Linked DNA regions of Macaca fascicularis. The protein of the gene in region 2 interacts with the protein of the main gene of each other region in a pairwise test. Links are inferred from orthologs where the notes say so. Each region holds a gene or a part of one and is shown on either strand. Other genes may lie near its edges.

Evidence for each region.
Region 1: the proteins of RBSN (region 2) and EHD1 interact in binary tests that used the Homo sapiens proteins (3 or more experiments, as listed by UniProt). The link is inferred for Macaca fascicularis from reciprocal best matches to the Homo sapiens genes RBSN and EHD1.

Annotation. Positions count from the first base shown.
Region 1 is NC_088388.1:9,521,375-9,531,643, forward strand, and holds part of EHD1 (EH domain-containing protein 1), read left to right. Parts: intron 1-5,606; coding exon 5,607-6,019; intron 6,020-10,269. UniProt on the Homo sapiens protein: ATP- and membrane-binding protein that controls membrane reorganization/tubulation upon ATP hydrolysis. In vitro causes vesiculation of endocytic membranes. Acts in early endocytic membrane fusion and membrane trafficking of recycling endosomes.
Region 2 is NC_088376.1:153,359,560-153,370,597, forward strand, and holds the start of RBSN (rabenosyn-5), read right to left. Parts: upstream 6,969-11,038; 5' UTR 6,930-6,968; exon of another isoform or gene 6,768-6,929; intron 6,130-6,767; exon of another isoform or gene 5,974-6,129; intron 4,592-5,973; exon of another isoform or gene 4,416-4,591; intron 4,170-4,415; 5' UTR 4,003-4,169; coding exon 3,855-4,002; intron 1-3,854. UniProt on the Homo sapiens protein: Rab4/Rab5 effector protein acting in early endocytic membrane fusion and membrane trafficking of recycling endosomes. Required for endosome fusion either homotypically or with clathrin coated vesicles.

The DNA.
Region 1 (10,269 bases), on a different chromosome or scaffold from region 2:
TGGCACCTCTTGAAACCCGGCGTCTTTAAGACTGAGTGAGGTGCTTTGAGGGCAGTGAGGGCCTGGTGGGCTAAGGAGCACCGGAGGGCCTTGTGGGGCTTGCAGTTACCTGGTCACATGCCTGCGTGGCACAGGCCCAAGTGCTGTGGTCCTTTTTGTCACCTGTGGGTGTGGCTGGCCGGTCACTGTGTTTCCCTCACAGCAAAAGCACATTTTCTGTAATAAACAGGAAATGTTATTCACCTGCAAAAAAATGGACTTACCTCTGTTGAGTCCAACTTGAGATGATGGCCAGTAACTGGGTTTCGGGGCAGGTGGGGCCGGGCTCCTTGACCTGGGGCAGGGAGTTTTGGAGTGCTCACTCTTCCTTCTCCTCTTTTTTCTCTCTTTCCCCAGGGTCCCCCAGCCATCCAGGGGGAGGCGGGAGTGGGGCCTTGCTGGGTGGAGTTTGGGAGGGTGACCTCAGCTCCCCAGGCGCCGTCCTGACTCCCAGGCCAAAGCTAACATGGGCTGAGCACAGCCCATCAGGGCGCCCTTATTCCCAAGAACTCAGTTTTGGCATCACAGCCTCCCCAGCTGTGTGAATTCTAGTTTCAGCTTGTGGCGGGCTGAAGACAAATGATTTGTCGAGGGGAGAAGTTGGGCCCCCTTTTTGCTGAGCGAGGAGGCTCAGTCCTTGAGTCATCGCCTTTTCAGTACTGACCTGCGTTCCCAGAGCTGGCCATAAAAGGCTGTGGGCTGCGGGCCCCAGGCAGGCCCTGCAGGCTCAGCTAGTGTGGCCTGGTGGCTCCAGGGGCAGAGGCGGCCTCTCCCTGCCCCTGCTTCCCTCATGTTGCCCTTGGCCTCTCTTTCTGGTTTTCTGCTGAGACTTCACCCTTTGGGCATCCCCTCCTGTGGAGCGCGCAGCCAGCTGCAGGGAGTCCGGGTGCCCGGGGCCTCGTACTTTGGAAGCAGGAGCCTGTGGTGGCATGAGGTGCTCTGGCGCGATGCCCTTCCACACCTTCTGGGCACAGGGAACCTGGCAGTTCTGCTGTCTCCGACCATTCGCCTAAGCCTCTGGAAGGCTGACCGGGCCTCCCTGCCCAGGCTGGAGGCCAGGACCCCGGCTTCCCTGCACTCCTGCCCTGTTGAGAAGCTTGGCCCTCAGGGCTGCTTCTGGTCCGAGAGCCCTATTTCCTGTTGGGCTGGGGCAGGGAATGGTCACACATCACCTGTGGAGAGGCTGCCGAGGCTGTGTGGCTGAAGCTGTGGATTTGGGATTTTCCTTACGTTTTGGTGACTTTGCTCAAGGATGAAAGTCCTTGACCGATGATGGGTCCCAGGCCGCTGTCCCCTTGTTCCCACAGAGCCCTGGCTTCCCCAGCCCCGGCCTGCGGAGAAGGCTGTCCCTGCCGGGTCCTGGGCTGGAGGCCCAGTGCTCCCACACGCCCTCCTCCCTGCAGCGCCGAGCGCTGGCCGAGGAATTGGTATTTAAATTTCACAGATGGACAAAGTAACTGAGAAGTTTAAGAAAAGAACTTCAGGTCACAGAGTCAGTGGCAGGGGGCGGGAGTGAAGTGCAGAGCCATCTTAGTGGCCTGAGTTCCTTCTGGGAGCACCAGGTGTGGGGAGGGGCTCCGCACCCCTGTGGCTTTGGGCTCACAGATGGCGCCAAGCACGCTTGGGCCTGGGGCCGGGGCGGGCGGCGGGAGTGTTTATCCCATGAACGAGCTTGGCTCTGCACACCCGGTGGTGCCGTTTATCTTGGCGTGCTTGTGCATGGAGGCAGCCTCTCGGGAGCCTGGGCTGTGGACCTGCTTTCGCCCTGGAGGGCTTTGCAGGGTGGGAGCAGCGGATGCCACCAAGGGGGAGCCCGTGCGGTGGTGGAGTCAGCAGCAGCTCCCGCTGGGGTACGGCAGGGCTGCCCTCCCATCGCCGTGGGCGACCCTGTCCAGCTGCTGCTTTTCCCTCGGAGCTCCCACCTCGCTGCTGTTTTTCTATCCCGCTCAGTCTAGAGAGCGCCCGTGTCCATCCCCAGCTGGGTGAGAGGGTGGTGAGTGTTTTTCACGGGGATGCCAGGAGTGGGCAGTGGGGTGAGGACGGGTTTGGGTCCAAGCTGGGCGACTGTCAGACTGTTGTGTGCAGGAGTGGCTTCTCCCACTTATTTCCAGAGCCTGACTGCTCTCTGGGAAGTACTTCGTGCTTCTGAAGAGGGCCGGCCTACATTTGGGTGGCCTGGGACCTGTGGGCAGACTGAGCCAGGGAGGTGGAGGCTTGCCCAGAATCAGGCAGAGAGGACGTGGCCCCTCGGGGGTGGGTCCCAAGCTCCCCAAGGACTCCGGGCCTTTGTTTCCACATGGCCCGCCTGTCACTCCTTACTCTTCCTAGACCGAGAAGGACAGAGGTTTTACTCTAGGGGCAGAGGAAGAGGTGAGGATTTGTTTTGTTTTGTTTTGTTTTGTTTTTGAGACAGGGTGTCACTCTGTCACCCAGGCTGGAATGTAGTGGCATGATCACAGCTCACTGCAGCCTCAACCTCCTGGGCTCAGGTTATCCTCCTGTCTTCGCCTCCCAAGTAGCTGGGACTACAGGCCGGTACCACCTTTGCAGAGTCGGGATTTTGCTGTGTTGCCCAGGCTAAAGTGGAAATATTTTGAAGAGGCCTAGTTGTCATGTAGGATTTAAATTAAACCGCTGTTACAGAGACCCAAAAATCATTGGTTTAAGTCAGATAGCCGATAGTTTATGTGAAAAACAACAGTCCAAGGCCATTCTGAACATGCAGCTTTCATCTCTGAACCCAAGGTGCTTCCTCCAGCTCCTCCCATCACATCAGCGTCCCAGTCCTCAGGAGGGAGAAAACAACAAAGGGCTCATGCTCCTTTCCTTGTTCATTTCTGCTGAAGGAAGCTGGGAAGTGCAATCTCAAGCTGGGAGGCCATGAATCCAGCTGAAACTAGATAGTTATTTCTGGTTCCTTCCTTTAGGAGGAATTTCAGTTAGCAGTCTCTGCCACAGGCGACAGAGTTTGCTTTAATTGGCGGGCCTTAATTGGGCCATAATGGGTTGGTGGGAAGCAATCTAGAATAGAGTTTAGAATCCAGACATGGTGGCTCAGGCCTGTCATCCCAACACTTTGGGAGGCCAAGTCAGGAGGATCTCTTAGAGCCCAGGAGTTCAGCATAGACATAATGCTGAACATACCTACAAAAATAAAAATTTAAAAATTAGCCAGACATGGTGGCACATGCCTGTAGTCTCAGCTACTCAGGAGTCTAAGGTGGGAGGATGGCTTGAGCTCAGGAGTTCAAGGTTCAGTGAGCCAGGATTGTGCCACTGCACTCCAGCCTGGGTGACAGAGCAAGACCCTGTCTCTAAAAAAAAGAATATAATTTTTTTAAAAAAAGAATATAGAGCCTAAAGCTGGAGTCTATCCAGTCCAACCACTTTGTTTTGGAGAAGTATTTAAGACCTAGGAAGGGAAGTGGTTTGTGGCATTTCCTGGGCTTCTTGTAGAGCAGAGGTCAGCAAACTTTTTCTGTAAGGATCGGATAGTTAATACTTCCAGCTTTGCAGACCTTTCACAGCTTTGCAGTTTCTATCATAACGACTGAACTCTGCTGTGTTAGACAAAAGAAGCCATGGATAATACAAATGAGCATGGCTGTGTTTCAATAAAACTTTATTTATACAAACAGGTGGTGGGCCAGGTTTGATTCCTGAGCTGTAGTTTGCCAACCCTTGTTGCAGAAAATAAGTGAGATTCCTGCAAAATGGGGAGCCTGGCACATCAGCACTGAACAAGGAGCAGCTGCAGTTACTGTTGCAGGCACGTCTTGTCACTGCCTTCCCAGGGCACACAGCTGGCAGGTGGCAACACTGGAGTCTATGTTCTACCATCTGTGCTGTGCTGAGCACAGTGCTGGGTCTCCTCACTCTCGCCCTCGTCTGACCCACCTTAAGAGCTTGCACTATGGGACGACTTTTGCATTAGCACCTGTTTATGCCAAGTGCTACATGGGTTGGGAGTGTTATGGTGGGGGCAGGAATAGGGGAGATAATCCTGCCCTCAGGGTGCTGTACTGTCTAGATGAGCACCTTCTAGGAATTTTTTTTTTTTTTTTGAGACAGAGTCTCGCTCTGTCACACAGGCTGGAGTGCAGTGGCGTGATCTCGGCTCACTGCAACCTCTGCCTCCCAGGTTCAAGCAATTCTCCTGCCTCAGCCTCCTGAGTAGCTAGGACTACAGGCATGCGCCACCACGCCCAGCTTTTTTTTTTTTTTTTTTTTGGAGATGGAGCCTCGCACTGTCGCCCAGGCTGGAGTGCAGTGGCGTGATCTCAGCTCACTGCAGCCTCTGCCGCCCAGGTTCAAGCAATTCTCCTGCCTCAGCCTCTCGAGTAACTGGGATTACAGGTGCCTACCACCACGCCAGGCTAATTTTTATATTTTTAGTAGAGATGGGATTTCACTATGTTGGCCAGGCTGGTCTTGAACTCCTGACCTTGTGATCCACCCACCTTGGCTTCCAAAGTGTTGGGATTACAGGTGTGAGCCACTGTGCCTGGCCTTTTCTTTTTTCTTTTCTTTTCTTTTTTTTTTTTTTTTTTTTTTTTTTTTGAGACGGAGTCTGGCTTTGTCGCCCAGGCTGGAGTGCAGTGGCCGGATCTCAGCTCACTGCAAGCTCCGCCTCCCGGGTTCACACCATTCTCCGGCCTCAGCCTCCCGAGTAGCTGGGACTACAGGCGCCCGCCACCTCGCCCGGCTAGTTTTTTGTATTTCTTAATAGAGACGGGGTTTCACCGTGTTAGCCAGGATGGTTTCGATCTCCTGACCTCGTGATCCGCCCATCTCGGCCTCCCAAAGTGCTGGGATTACAGGCTTGAGCCACCGCGCCCGGCCTTTTTTTCTTTTTTTTTTTTTTTGTGTGACAGTTTCTCTCTTCTTGCCCAGGCTGGAGTGCAGTGGCATGGTCTTGGCTCACTGCACTCCTGAGTTCAAGCGATTCTCCTCTCTCAGCCTCCCAAGTAGCTGGGATTACAGGTGCCCACCACCACGCCTGGCTAATTTTTGTATTCTCAGTAGAGATGGGGCTTCACCATGTTGGTCAGGCTGGTCTCGAACTCCTGGCCTCAGGTGATCTACCCACCTCAGCCTCCCAAAATGCTGGGATTACAGGCTTGAGCCACTGTGCCTGGCCCCTTCTAGGACTTTTATTTTATTTTATTTAGAGATGGAGTCTTGCTCTGTTGCACAGGCTGGAGTGCAGTGGTGCGATCTCAGCTCACCACAACTTCCTCCTCCTGGGTTCAAGTGATTCTCCTGCCTCAGCCTCCCAAGTAGGCTAGGACTACAGGCTCGTACCACCAGGCATGGCTAATTTATGTATTTTTAGTGGAGACAGGGTTTCGCTATGTTGGCCAGGCTGGTCTCAAACTCATGACCTTGTGATCTTCCCACCTTGGCCTCCCAAAGTGTTGGGATTACAGGCGTGAGCCACTGCACCCGGCCTGTAGGAATTTTAAAAACTATCTCTGGCTGAGAAATACCAGGCCAGGTTGGAGATGAGAGCCATCAGAGCAGCAGGTCCCTTGGCACCCCTGAGCTCTCCCTTCTCTTCCCCGCAGGCTATGACTTTGCAGCCGTCCTGGAGTGGTTCGCCGAGCGTGTGGACCGCATCATCCTGCTCTTCGACGCCCACAAGCTGGACATCTCCGATGAGTTCTCAGAAGTGATCAAGGCCCTGAAGAACCATGAGGACAAGATCCGCGTGGTGCTAAACAAGGCAGACCAGATCGAGACACAGCAGCTGATGCGGGTGTATGGGGCCCTCATGTGGTCCCTGGGCAAGATCATCAACACCCCCGAGGTGGTCAGGGTCTACATCGGCTCCTTCTGGTCCCACCCGCTCCTCATCCCTGACAACCGCAAGCTCTTTGAGGCTGAGGAGCAGGACCTCTTCAAGGACATCCAGTCTCTGCCCCGAAACGCCGCCCTCAGGAAGCTCAATGACCTGATCAAGCGGGCACGGCTGGCCAAGGTAGACCCCAGGGTGAGGGGAGCAGCCTATTGCCAGGCAGGGCCGTGGGGCTCTGAGATAGGCACTCAGGGCCCCGGGATTGCCCGAGACCCATCCCAGCTCACTGCACAGGCGGACCTGTGCTGCGCTGTTTCCCTCTGCAGAAACCAGTCTTTGGTCAGCACCCGCGTGCAGCCTGCTCTTAACTAAGATTCTCCACCCGGCCTCCCTCTAAACCTGTTGTGTGTGTGGTTTATGCCCCATCTACTTTCAAGAAGGGTTTGACTATGCTTACAACACAGAAACAGCACACAGGAAGTTACCGCTGAAGCAAAGGAGGCAGCCTCAGAAATGGGGTGTTGGGGGATAGAGCTCTGAGGCTTGTTGGCTTCCCTCTAGGGTTTTTTGTTTTTGTTTTTGAGGCGGAGTCTGGCTCTGTTGCCCAAGCTGGAGTGCAGTGGCATGATCTCAGCTCATAGCAACCTGCACCTCCCAGGTTCGAATGATTCTCCTACCTTAGCCTCCCGAGTAGCTGGGATCACAGGCACACACCACTATGCCCAGCTAATTTTTGTATTTTTAGTAGAGGCAGGGTTTCACCATGTTGGCCAGGCTGGTCTCAAACTCCTGACCTCAGGTGATCAGCCCACCTCAGCCTCCCACAGGATTACCCCTCTGGGGTTTACTGGGCCTGAAGTGCACTCAGCACAGTGCTGGACGCCAGGGACATGGCGGGGAGTGACACACAGCCCATCCACTCCTCAGCCTTCATGGGGAAAGCAGAGCACACAAACAAAAACTAAACATCAGTTGTTTGTGTCGTCTTGGAGTGAGCACAGGCTGCTGCGGGAGCTGGCGCTAGGGGCTGTCCCAGTGGAGTAGAAGGGCTAGGGGAGGCCTGGCAGGAGCTGAAGCTTAAGCTGCCATAGGAAGCAGCTCGTGAGGAGACGAGGTGCCAGCCTACAGACTGGGAAGCACTGGGCACGGAAGCCAAGGTCACGCTGAGGCGGTGTCAGTCCAGCAGACCTCGCAGACCATCCTTACGTCTCCTGGCAGCCCAGGCCCGGTGGCACCTATCAGCAGCCTCTGAATGGCCGAAAGATTTGGAATCTCAGTGGCTGACCAAGTACTTGAGTGAGAGCCAGCGTGGCTGGGGCCAGAAATCAAAGGTTAATGCCACCGGCGGGCCCTTCCAACACAGAATGACAAACACATGCCCTTAGGGTGTCTGACTTTGGATAACACCCTATTGTGAGCCAGCCTAGACGAGTCACCAAGAGTGACAGTCCCGGCTGTGGTTGGGGTTGGCCCCGTGGACAGGAGTGTTTGACACAGATTGTCTGAACAGCTGAAAAGTGACCAAGCCCACACTTGTATCTTAGCAGGGCACCTAGCTATTCTTTCAGGCTCTTAGTACAGGGTTGGGCTGTTTAAGAAATAGGCTCCAGCCAGGCATGGTGGCTCACACCTGTAATCCCAGCACTTTGGGAGGCCAAGGTGGGTAGGTGGATGACCTGAGGTCAGGAGTTCGAGACCAGCCTGGCCAACACGGTGAAACCCCATCTGTACTAAAAAAAATACAAAAATTAGCCGGGCATGGTGGCGCATGCCTGTAATCTCAGCTACTTGGGAGGCTGAGACAGGAGAATCACTTGAACCCAGGAGGCAGAGGTTGCAGTGAGCCGAGATAGTGCCACTGCCCTTCAGCCTGGGTGGCAGAGCAAGACTGTCTCAAAAAAAAAAAAAAAAAGAAAAAAAATAGGCTCCAGCCAGGCATGGTGGCTCACACATGTAATCCCAGCACTTTGGGAGGCCAAAGCAGGAGGATCCCTTAAGGCCAGGAGTTAGAGACCAGCCTGAGCAATCTAGTGAGACCCTGTCTCTATTTAATTTAAAAATTAAAAAAAAAATTAAAAAATTAAAAGAAAGGCCCTTGCTGTAGCTCCCATCTCTAGGCCAGGCCAGAGCATGGCTGGGGAACTGTCCTGCCTGCCGAGCCAGGCCCTTTGGTGATACGTCCCCAGTTCTTCAGTAAGACAGCACAGAGAGCAGGGTGCTTGCCCCCACCTCGTGGCATGCAGGGAGTACCAGGGCAGACCTTGTGTGGGCATTAAGGCTTCAGTGGCAGCTGTGCCTGTGGCCAGGGTCACAGTCCCCCGATCTCCAGAGTATAGCTGAGGACTGAGGATGGGCACTTCCTGGGGAGCCCATGCCCCTGCCTGCTCAGAGGCACGGAGACTCTGCAGGCGTGGAGCACAGTGGCCCTCGTACCCACTCTGTCTCGAGGCCAGACAGTCAGAGGGCATGTGGGTGCCACCCGGCCTGAGCAGTGAGAACTGACCCATCATCCTTTGCCACCACTGTCCTCCCCTTGTGTCGCAAGTACCCTGGGCCCCACCTCACCTGCAGATGAGGAATTCTCATTCCGGCCTGAACCTCCGTGAGCTGTGTGCATGGGCATGGGCCAGACGCCTGCTCTGGAGGACACAGGGCTGCGTGGTTTTCTTATTTTTAATTTTATTATGTTATTTTTTGATTTTTTGGAGACAGAGTCTCACTCTGTCACCAAGGCTGGAGTGCAGTGGCACGATCTCGGCTCACTGCAACCTCCACTTCCCAGGCTTAAGCCATTCTCCTGCCTCAGCCTCCTGAGTAGCTGGGATTACAGGCACCCACCACCACGCCCGGCTAATTTTTATATTTTAGTAGAGATGGGGTTTCACCATGTTGGTCAGGCTGGTCTCAAACTCCTGACTTTAGGTGATCCGCCTGCCTTGGCCTCCCAAAGTGCTGGGATTACAGGCGTGAGCCACCGCGCCCGGCTGGCTGGATGTTTTTCTAGAGATCTCCCTTCTGGAGCCTCCCTGTGAGTGGAGTCAGCTTTGAGAGAGGAACCCATGCAAAAACCCAGGTGAGTGACCCCAGCCTCAAAGGACAAAGGACGTCCTGAGCTGATGGGTGTGGGTGTGGCCCTGACTGAGGCCCTCTCCTTGCAAGGCAGAGAGAACTCCCCTGCTCAGCCACCTTTGAGGACAGACAGGACAAGGGGCGGGCATGAGCCCTGCCTGTTTGTCTGTGAGACCGTGTGTGACCGCCAGGCCCTAGGCACACTGAGTCACCACGCCTGGGAAACTCTGTGGCCTCCAGTGTTGCCTCACACCTGCCACTTCCTTTTCCTGGAGTGAATGGTGCTTTCTGTGGTGACTCCCACCGGCCTGGGATCTGCCTGCCACAGTGTCCCTGGGAGACCCTAGATCTAGACCCACATGGCACGGGGCTGTCTCCCTCAGGCAGTTTTCAACCAGGCCCCCACCCAGGGCAGACAGGCTTAGGCTGAGTGGGGTAGTGGATGGGCTGGAGCCGGGGAGAAGGGCAGCGAGGCTGGCTGGCCGCAGCCCTCCGTGGCTGGACACAACTTGGCAAGGCCAAGGGATCTGAGGGCTGGGCTGCTCTCGAGGGGTGCCAGGTTCCCAGCTTGCTGCGGGGAAATGAAGGGGGTACCGCCCTGAACTGGCACGTCTAAGCAAGGTATTGACGCTTGGATAAAGCTGGCAGCTGCCAGGAGAAGCCTTTGTGGGATGTTTTGAATCCTTCGTCATCTGAGCTGTGATGATGGAGTGGAGTGTGGCACGGGCCCACTGGAGTTCTGTGGGCTCCGTCAGCACTCGGCAGGGATTTGGACATGCAGGTTGGTGGGCCCTGCAGGAAGCCTGCTCCCAGCTTGGGGGAAGGGGGCTTGCAGAGAAACAGAAAGAACATGGGCTGTGAGGCACCTTCAGCAGCCCTGGGTTCCAATCCCAGCTCCTCCACATGGAAGCCAAGTGCCCCAGGCAGCATTTCCCAGCCTTACTTAGGGCCAGGGTTGGGGGAATCCCACCCCGCAGGGCTGCGGTGAGGGTTGAATGGAGGGTATGTGATGTGCCCAGCGGTGCACAACAAATGGCCTCCTTTGGGTTGACAGACTTGGTTTTACTATTCCTGGATCATCACAATGATCCATGCAAGGCCAAGGCTGTTGTCTTCTGTTTCAAGTGCATTTTCCTGTCCTGTCCTCTGCCCCACGGCAGTGAACAGCTGTGGCTCTTGCCAGATTGTGTCTGCTCCTAGGCCTGTGGGAGCCAGCGGTGGCAGCAGCCTTAAGCTTGACCCATCCCTCCCGCTTCCCTGTTCCTGAGTGAGCACCTTGGAGTATCCTTGGAGTGTCCTTGGAGGCTCTGCTCTCGGGGGCAGCCTGGACCAAGACAGCGCCTGATGGCCACCCCCGTCCTCAC
Region 2 (11,038 bases):
ACAGGTGTGCACCACCATAACTAGGTAATTTAAAAAAAAATTTTTTTTTTGGAGAGATATTGCCTAGGCTCACAGGCAGAGGGTGAGATTGATAAGAATACACTCGTCTTCTTTTAATACAGTCAAGCCAATAAGCAAACTTTCTGATTATTGGTCACTGTGGGACAGCTTTGTCCAAACTGGAAAAATACCAAAACAAAAGGACATCCTTTAAAATGCACTAAAGTAGTTTTTTTTTTAAGACAGTTTCACTCTTGTCACCCAAGCTGGAGTGCAATGGCAGCTATCTCAGCTCACTGCAACCTCTGACTCCCAGGGGTTCAAGGGATGCTCCTGCCTCAGTCTCCCAAGCAGCTGGGATTACAGGCATATGCCAACACACCCAGCTAATTTTTGTATTTTTTTTGTAGAGACGGGGTTTCACCACATTGGCCAGGCTGGTCTCAAACTCCTGGCCTCAGGTGATCCACCCACCTCAGCCTCCCAAAGTGCTGGGATTAAAGGCATGAGCCACTGTCCCTGGCCTAAAGTAGTCTTTTCTAGTAACAGGGGAGAGGAAACTGCCTGATGTGAACAAAGGGTCTAGCAAACAGGAATGTGAGTTAGCAAATAACAATTCATTTTTGCAAACAAGACTAGAGTATCAGGTTAAACAGGCAATCTATACCATTAACCACATTAGGAGACAGCAAAACTACCTGGCAATCTTCCCAGAATGGACATGGCCCTTCCACAGGAGGTCAATTAAGAATAATCCCATATATTTTTAAAAACAATAACAAAGCAAGAAGCCACAGTCAATTTTCAGCTATCTTTTCTTCTACTTACTGAAAATGGGCTAAACTGGAGCTGAACCAGGACTGGGTTTCGAATCCACAAACTTTTTCCTAATGACTAGTCTATCTTTTCTTTTTTGAACTGCCCCTAAAAACTAATACTAAGGTTCACTCTTTTGGCTTTAACTTTTCACTTGCCTAAAACTAACCATGTCATAACATTTCTAAGAATCAAAAGACCAAATGGAGAGGTAATCTGCTTTCTAAAGGGCTTTTCAAAAAACCTTTCATGTCAATCCTTAAAACTTTACTTTCCTGATTCTGAAATGCAGAAAACTGCAACATAATCAAGAATTCCTTTCTAACTAAAGATATGATCATTAGTAGTACTAGAGGTAGAGATGCAGGGGGTAAGGCAGGGTGGGAGATAAAGGGAAAACCAAGAGGATCTTTTCTTTCTTTTTTTTGAGACAGTTTCACTCTGTTGCTCAGGCTAGAATGTGACAGCCTTGATCTCCCAAGCTGAAGCGATCCTCCCACCTCAGCCTCCTGGGTAATTGGGACTACCAGTGCGTGCCACTATGACTGGCTAATTTTTTTAAATAATTTTTTTGTAGAGATGGTCTCGCTATGTTGCCCAGTCTGGTCTCCTGGGCTCAAGCAATCCTCCTGCCTTGGCCTCCCAAAGTACTAGAATTACAGGCATGAGCCACTGCACCTGGCTGAAGTAACTTTATTTTGTTTTTTGTTTTTGAGTCAAAGTTTCACTCTGCTGCCCAGGCTGGAGTGCAGTGGCATAATCATGGCTCACTGCAGCTTCAACCTTCTGGGCTCAAGGGATCCTTCTGCTTCAGCCTCCCAAGTGGCTAGGACTACAAGTGCATGTCATCATACCCAGCTAACTAAAAAAAAAAATTTTTTTTTCTCTTTTTTTTTTTTTGGTACAGACAAGATCTATGTTGCCCAGGCTGTTCTCAAACTCCTAAGCTGAAGCGATCCTCCCGCCATGGCCTCCCAAAGCGCTGGGATTACAGGTGTGAGTCACTGTGCCCAGCCAAGGATCCTTTCAAGTTTCTTTCACAAGGCACAAAATTTCCATTCTATTTAGTATTCCTTAAATAGATTCCCGTATCTGTATTCTCTAAATAACCTTAAACACTCTTCCTCTTAAAAAAGGGTCAGTGAAGGAATCGGGGAACATTCTCTAACCTCTCTACCTACTGGCATCACCAGTTTTAGCAATGGCATTGTATATGACTTAGTTCAGCTGACACCAAGACTGGAAGCTAGTTGAAAATGATGGAGGCTCTTCCTTTGGTTGGCAAAGGAAACTTACATAATCAGGTTTTTCAGTTTTGTTTTTGCTTCATTTCCTCCAGGAAGCTGCAATGCACGCTGTGATTGAAACACGGGGCCTCTCACCCTGTGATGTCACATGCAAACAGCAGCACTGGACATAGAGATGACAGAAGACCTACATTCCAGGCCTAGCTCTGCAATTCCTGTGTGACCGTGGATAAGTAACTCAACATCTCTTGAGCCTCACTTCACTTACTATCTATAAAATAAGACCAATCACCTTCTTGCAGAGTTGTTAGGAGAGTCAGATGAAATAATAATGTCTGTGAAATAAACTCTAAAAACTATAAAGCACAGCATTTTTTTCCCCTCCTAATAGTTTTGGCTCTGCTCTACAGCCTCTACAGCCAGAAGCCACCTCATCCACCATAGCCCTCAGGATTTCAGAAATGTTTGCCTTTGTTGTTTTTGGATAGAAGTTGCAACTGTTTATACTTTTAGAAACTCTTTTTTACTGAACAGAAAAGTGAGATAGAGTGGGACTCTAGGGACAACTATGTGATTACAAAGTACATATGAGTCACCTGTCAGAAAGCCAAAGCACACTTAGAAATACATGGTCATTCCTTTCTTTCCCTCCCAATAAAGACTGTGAATACAGCATCCAGAACTTTTTAATCTCATGGCCTTCAGAAATGCTGCCAGCTATGAGAAGCAAGTTAGCTGAAAACTACAAAAATAAGTTCCAGAGGAGCAGCATCTTTGTTGTGTGTGTGTGTGTGTGTGTGTGTGTGTGTGTGTGTGTGTGTGTGTGTAAAAGGGTCTCTCTCTCTCTGTTGCCCAGGCAACAGTGGCACGATCATCACTCACTACAGCCTTGCCCTCCCTGGGCTCAAGCGATCCTCCTACCTCAGTCTCCTGAGTAGCTGGGGCAACAGGCGTGCACCATCACATCCGGCTAGTTTTTTTTTTAATTTTTTTGTGAGGTGGGTTTCGCGATGTTGCCCAGGCTGGTCTTGAACTCCTGAGCTCAAGTGATCCACCCACACTGGCCTCCCAAAGTGCTGGGAATAGAAACATAAGCCACTGTGCCCGCCCAGAGGAGAAGCATCTTATCTGGAGGTTAGAATTTGATGTCCAGGAAATACAATAAACATATGTATAGTCAAAACTACCTTTGAAAAATTCTTTCCACAACTCTCTCAGATCTGAGCTCTTGGAAGCTCAAAAACCAAGGTTTTCAGATTGTTTCTTTTGTTTTTCAACTACGACCTTCCTTTTTCTGGGCTACAGAGGGCAAGATACCAGTTGGGGAAGGAAGGATGGTGGGTAGGCTTAAATTTGTGACAGGTAAAATGGGTGCATAATGTGCCTCCATCATCATAGCAAAGGAAGAAATTCCTCTCCAAATTCTATTAGGCTAGTAGTTAGAGAATAGTCAAGCCAGATCACAGCAATTACATTTACTAGATTCAAAGTCAAACTGTGTTTCACTGAGTGGTTTTAGATAAGTTATCTAATCTCTTTGTGTCTGGTGCAAAATGTGGCTCACAGCCACACAGTTATTGTGAGGATTAAATGAAATAAACAGGGAGACTCTGAAAATGCCTGGCACATGACAAACACTAGTCATTTGTTTGCTACTACTGTTATCATATTCCCGTGGCAACACTGAAGCTGATGAGAACTATCCCGTGAGTTAAAGCTCTCAATGACAGCAGGGTATAGGCAAGGTCCTATATAGTATATATATGACCCAGCAAGGTCCTTGCCTCTTACTTTTAATTTGCCCTTTGACATCACGGTCTTCGCCCGAGTGTTCTTCCTCATAATGTGAGTGAAGCTGATAGAAAGACTGCAGATCCTTCAGGCACAGAGGGCAGAGGAAGCCCTCCCTCACTTCCCCTGGGTCATCCAGAGAAGCCATGGCGGTGCCGCTCTCAACCCTAGGAAGGCAGGGATCTCATGCCAAGAGTCAGCTTGATTCCTCCCAAGGAATCATAGTTCCCGCAGCATTAGCTTAAGTAGCACACAGACGGTGAGGAAGTAGCCTCATGGCCCTGAATGAGGTTTCCTCTCTGGAGTAGGAGGAGCCTAAGAAAGAAAAGAAGAAGGGAAAAAAGCCAATTCAGGCAAACTGGTAGCAATTGAGTATTTTCTTCATTCTTTTCACAGTTCAACAGGGTACTTAATGTTTGTTCAGTGCAAGTTTGAGAAAACAAACTCTTTCTCAAATCCTTAGACCAAGCAAGCTGCAAAACCTAAGACGTGAAAACATCACTGGACAACAACAACTCAATTAAGTGGGAAACACAGATTCTTGAAATAAGCAAATAATACCTTGGCAATTCTCTTACATTCATTCCAAATGACCCAACTTCGTAATTCATATGCCACTTTAGCCACTGGGGGAATGTCTGAAGTACTTATCAACAAGCAGAAGTTTTTACTTGATGCTGTTTACTTTGATTGTTTATTCAACCACATATATTAAGTTCTTGATACTTGTAAGACACCTGTGTTAGAAATGCAAAGATGAAGACATAGTATCTCCCATAAAAACATAAAAAAAAACAAAATTCCTAACGTCAGTTAAAGAGAAACATTAGAAACCTACTAGTCAAAAAGAAAAAATTTATATTTGTGGAGCACTTATCTCTAATGGGCTTACTAGATTTTTTTTTTTAAGAGACAGCATCTTGCTCTGTCACCTAGTGAGCTATAATTGCTCACAACAGCCTCGACTTTTGGATTCAAGTGATCCTCCTGCCTCAGCCTCCCAAGAAGCTGGGACTACAGAAGTGTGCCATCACACCCAGCTAGTTTTTAAATTATTTATAGAAACAGGTTCTTTCTGTGTTTCCCAGGCGGGTCTCTAACTCCTGGCCTCAAGCAATCCTCCTGCCTGAGCCTCCCAAACTGCTGAGATTACAGGTGTGAGCCACTGCACCCTGACAGATCTTATAAGCCAGTAAGTGACAGTTAAGTAGCAAACCTGATGTTCTCACTGCTTCAAAAATAAAAGGCTGGCCAGGCATGGTGGCTCATGCCTATAATCCCAGCACTTTGGAAGGCCAAGGCAGGCAGATCACCTGAGGTCAGGGGTTCAAGACCAGCCTGGCCAACATGGTGAAATCCCATCTCTACTAAAAATACAAAAATTAGCCAGTAGGCGCCTGTAATCCTAGCTAGTGGGGGGACTGAGGCAGGAGAAATGCTTGAACCCAGGAGGCAGAAGTTGCAGTGAGCTGACATCACGCCATTGCACTCCAGCCTGGGCAACAAGAGCGAAACTCTGTCTCAAAAAAGTAAGTAAATAAATAAATAAAAGGCTTTGGTGTCTAAACATTTCAGGGCTTAATAAGTTACATTCTCTGTCTTACTGGCCCATGGCAAAGTCACTTCCAATGTCACCTCATCAAGACTCTCAGTCACAAGAGAAATTGAGACAAAACCATTCCACAAAAGCAGAGAAATTTCTCCCCAAGAACCTGGGGCTACAAGCCACAGTATATAGTGAGGGGGGGTGTGTGACCCTCAGCTTTGGATGGACTGTAGAAGACCACTGAGGAGGGACTGCCTGGTCCTCAAAGCTGAAGGGTGGCAGCAACTCAGAAAATAAACAAATGAGACACCAGGACCCTATTTTTCCCCTCTAGTTAAGAAACCCAGTGACTTCATACATTTTCCACTGAAATATAGTAGCTCTAGGTCTGGCCTCTTCCCTCCCCAGCCAGTGGTTCATCTAATGCTGACTGTGACAGCACCCTTTCTTCCCATGCACTCACCCCAAACGACCACAAATCAAACACAAAGCCCACCACATCCATGCCACAAAACCACCCTTCACGCCTCAGCCCAAACCCAAACCTCACTTCCTCAAAGAAATGCCCCTTACTCAGAGCATCAGAATGGACTTCTCCTTCACAGCACTCATCTCAATTTATAACCGCAGGTACATACGTGAAGTGACCAAGTAAGACTGAAAAATCTGGGAGGGCACAAACTCTGTATGTTTTCCCCTTCGCCGTCTCCCCAAGGTTTAGCACAGTACCTGGCACACACAATGAAGAAGCACAATAAAGCTCCATGAAAGAACGAACAAATGAATGAACTCCAAAATCATATAACTAAGCATACACCATAAAGAAACCACCGAATCGGACCCCACAACCGTAACTGAACACATACGCAAGCCCCTTGCACTCTTAAATCACGTAAAAAGTAAAAAACAAAAACCTACATGTTCTGCAACCGTACATCCAGCACGAATGTCACCCCGCCACATGCCGCATCGACGACATATCCCACAGCCGCACTCAACCCGCCCTCACGACCGCACACAACCACAACCCACGTCACACGATTATACACACGTCGCATGACCACACACAACACGAACGACTCAACCCCGTGGAGCAGACATGACAACGTCACACACGGCACAGACACCACACAAAACACTCCAAACATCTCTACACGAACTCAGAACACAAACGCTTCAGCTTTACACAACCAGAGAATCAAACAACCGCTCGGGAGACAAGCACCCACCCACTCCCCCCACAGCTGCACAACGAAACCCAAGTGTATATGCCCCGCGTAACCGCACAGGGCCCAATCATCACAAGCACACACAAGCGAAACGCACGGCCTGAAAGCCGCATCTCCCATCTCTCACGTCACACCCACCACAATCACACACGGTCCACACCCACAGGGCCCGCCCATCTCCGTTCTGGAGGAGTCGTGTCCCCGTCCCTCAGACTAGGCCTGACCCTCTGTACCCGGCCGGGCTCCTGCGGACACGCAGGCCTGTCCCGTCCTCGGGCCAGGGCCTCCACCGTCCCTTACACAGCCGCGGCCGCCATCTCCATCGGTCGCTCGGAACTCGGCAGGTGCGCCTGCGGCGGCGACGAAACTGGAAGACAGGCTAGTAAACGCCTGTCGAGCGCCGAGTCTTCGAGGCAGCGAAAAGGGCGGATACGGATTCGAATCGTGGAGGGCGGTCCGGCGGCTTCTGCGCAGGCGCTTTCCGAAAGAGGGCGGGGACGGGGGCGGGGAGAGGAGGTGGGACGTGGTAATTTTGTGCGGTTCTTATGTCTCGGATTCCAATCTAGCAGCGCGTCAAAGCCAGCCACTGGCTCGGCACCCCATTGTACAGCTGGGAAAGCTGAGGCCGGTAGATCTTTGGCTCTTGACCAATATGCACAAAGAATAAGGCAGCCAAGGAGTCAAAGTTTCTGAGAGCTGGAGACAGAAAAAATATTCAGGGGACGTGGAGGCGGTGGAAAGTCCTAGAATAGAACCACATGAGAGTGGAGACTTGGTATGAGAAGGTGTATCCTGGGGGCGTACAGCATGGCCAAACCTGTGGAAAAGATGGCATTTTCAAAAGGCAGGACGATTGATCAGCCAGGACCTACCCCGTGCCTGCGCTGTGCTGGGTACCATGGGGTATAGAGAGTCAAAACCTCATCCCAGTACCGGAGACCTATTTGCTTTGTGCCCTGCACACGTTCTGGACCTTAGCAATGGCCAGGCTCCAGGAGGAAGAGCTGCAGAGAACGATGGGACGATTGGACGATCCTGGGCCTCCGTTTACATCCCTGCAGTGTTACTGGCCCTCTTTTACAGAAGTAAAATGGGGATAATAATGATAGTCTCCGCCCCACAGGGTTGTGAAGATTGAGGTAATTGCACGGTAGGGGGGGTGTCCTGCATACTGGCTTTGCCCGTCTCACTTTCCCTGCCTCCAAAGAGTCTTCCCCACCTGGTCTCTGGACAGGAGCACTGCGCCTTCATCACCTTCCATTTAAGGACATGGGGCTCCGAATTGGGAGAGCATTGAGTTTTTGGAAGGCAATCACCAGTGAAAGGGCAGGGAACTAGGGGGTCTAGAGATCTACGTTCTAGCCCTTACTTTGTGGCTTTGAACAGGTCCTTTCCCCTTTCTTGGCCTGAGTTCTCCCATCTGTACAGAAGAAATTGGCGCCAGTGACTTAGCCTTTTCTCTCAATCTGATGGTCAATTTTTTTTAACGTTACAATGTCGGCAGAAGCGAATAATGACTTCTGTTTGTTTACTGATACAGACAAGGAAGAGGTTTCCTAACCTGACAGAAGCGAAGCTACATGCCCAACTCCCCGTGTCCATCACTAGCTTCTGCCTTAGGTCCCCAAAACGAGGACTTTGGGAGTAAAACCACCCTCTTGAAAGTCTGAGGCCACAGAGGTCCCAGAACGAGCCACACTTACAGGCAGGACTACGTTTTGGGTCGGGCAATGAACGTTTATTAAACCATCACGATTTTTGCTTGTCATTTTATCATTTACAAAAAAACATCATATTTGGTTGGGCCCGGTGGCTCACGCCTGTAATCCCAGCACTTTGGGAGGCCGAGGTGGGCAGATAACTTGAGGTCAGGAGTTCAAGACCAGCCTGGCCAACATGGTGAAACCCCATCTCTACCAAAATATAAAACATTAGCCGGGTATGGTGTCGCATGCCTGTAATCCCAGCTACTCAGGAGGTTGAGGCAGGAGAATCGCTTGAACCTGGGAGGCGGAGATTGCAGGGAGCTGAGATCATACCACTGCACTCCAACCTGGGTGACAAAGTGAAACTCCGCCTCAAAAAAAAAAAAAAAAGAAAAAAATAAAGAAAGAAAAGAAAAGAAAAAAACATCATATTCATCATTTCATTTGCTCAAAAAAGCAATAGCAATGTGGCCTCACCTTGTAAGTTAATTCTGGAAATCACAATGGATTGAGCACTGCTCTTGATATTGTTAATGATAATCACAAAGACTTTCCTATATGCTTCACACTTCATCAAAAGTACTTTCTTTAATCCTTTAGGCAACTCTGACTATTTCCAGTTTGATAATAATAATGGGCCGGGCGCGGTGGCTCAAGCCTGTAATCCCAGCACTTTGGGAGGCCGAGACGGGCGGATCACAAGGTCAGGAGATCGAGTCGAGACCATCCTGGCTAACACGGTGAAACCCCGTCTCTACTAAAGTACAAAAAAAAAAATTAGCCGGGCGAGGTGGCGGGCGCCTGTAGTCCCAGCTACTCGGGAGGCTGAGGCAGGAGAATGGCATGAACCCGGGGGGCGGGGCTTGCAGTGAGCTGAGATCCGGCCACTGCACTCCAGCCTGGGCGACAGAGCCAGACTCCGTCTCAAAAAAAAAATAATAATAATAATAATAATAATGACTAATATTTACTGAGGGATTTGTACACGCCAGACACTGTTCTATGTGCTTTCCATATCTTAACTCATTTCATTCTCACACAACTCAATGATGTAGAAACTGTACAAAATGTAATATTATTCCCATTTTATAGAAGGGAAGCTGAGGCACAGAGAGGTTAGGTGACTTGCCCAAGGTCACCAGCTGGTGAGCCTTGAACCCAGAGTCACCTTGCCTTGAGGCTTTCACAATCCCCACTTTTCCTTCCTCTGTGACATGCTGATAGACTTCCTGTACCTCCTCAGCCTCCTCCAGCCACCACTCCTGTACTGGGCATAGAGAGGGGATGTAAGCCAATTAGTTCAAAACAGAAGTATGCATGTGCACACAGATGCTATGGTGTCAGAGGAGAGACCAGCAGAGTCCCCCGCAGGAATTCAGGAAAGGGTTCCCATAAGCGGGCAGCACGTGAGCATGGTCCCTGGTCCTCGGGTAGAAACGATTAGGAAGGGCCTTCCAGGCCAGGGGAACCGCATATGCAAAGGCATAGTTATGGAGAAGAACATGAGTCCTTTGAGAAACTCAGAGAGAAGTTCATTCACACATAGAGGGATAATATCAAGCCACTCCTCCTTGTTCCCAAAACTGTAGGCAGCCACTTCTAGTGAGAGAATCTTGGACACCTGGGTCTCTTCACGCTTGCCCCCTGCCTTAGGGTTCTCTATTTCTTTCTGTCTCTCTATCCCTCTATCTCACTTCTCACTTTCTTTTGGCCCCTTATTTGTCTAAGTTTATCCCAAGCAGCACAAGCCATCTTGCCCACATTAAAATCCCTGGGCAAGAAAATGAATTATGATATGGGTAACATAAACATCACTGGGGAAGGTCTGGGCACATCATGTAACTTCCCGAAGTACCAACTGCCCTCCAAGCTGGCCTGGCCCCAGCTTCCAGGCCTCTGCCAGCTGCTGTGGTCGGAGCCAGCGAGTTGACAGGGTTGAGGTTGGCACACCCTGTCTGCTGGCACAGGGAAATGAGGGTGATGACGGACAGCCTGGCAGAGCCTTGCCTGGAGGATGGGGGGCAGGGTGTGCTGGGCTGGGCAGTGTCCGAGGGAAGCAGGTGGCGGTTGCTGTGGCTCTATCAGGAAGGAAGTAGGGAATGAGGAAAGAAGAAAGGGAAGAGAAAACGAGGGGAGAAAGGAAGAGGAAGAGGGAGGGAAAGAATGACAAGAAAAAAGCCAAGATGGAGCGAAAGTCGACCTGGGTTTGAATCCCAGCCCTGCCACCTATGGCCATGTGAACCCTGGGCGGGTCACTTAAATTCTCTGAGCTTTGGTTTCCTCATCTGTAAAATGAGATAATTATAGTACCCACCTCTTAGATTGGAAGGTTAAATAGCTTAATATTTGGAAAGTGTTAGGACAGCGCCTGGCACAGGGGAAGGACTATGTAAATGTTTGTTAAATAAAGAAAAAGGAAGAGTGGTGTGATTCAGATGCCTTGGCTGTTGTGTCATGCTGAGTCAGACAATAGCATGAGAGTATGAGGATCCAATCTGGTGTCATAGAAATAGCTTTGAGAGTCATGGCCTTGCCAGATGGGATGTCTACAAAAAGAACTCAGAATAGAATCACATAGCAACTGGATTCATTAAATCCAATAGTGGGTGGGGGAACAGCCTCAACAAACCTGAAAATCAGGAAACATGGAATTGACTTGGGAGATGTGAGCTGCAAAGCCAACCAATTTGCAGGTAGTGGGCT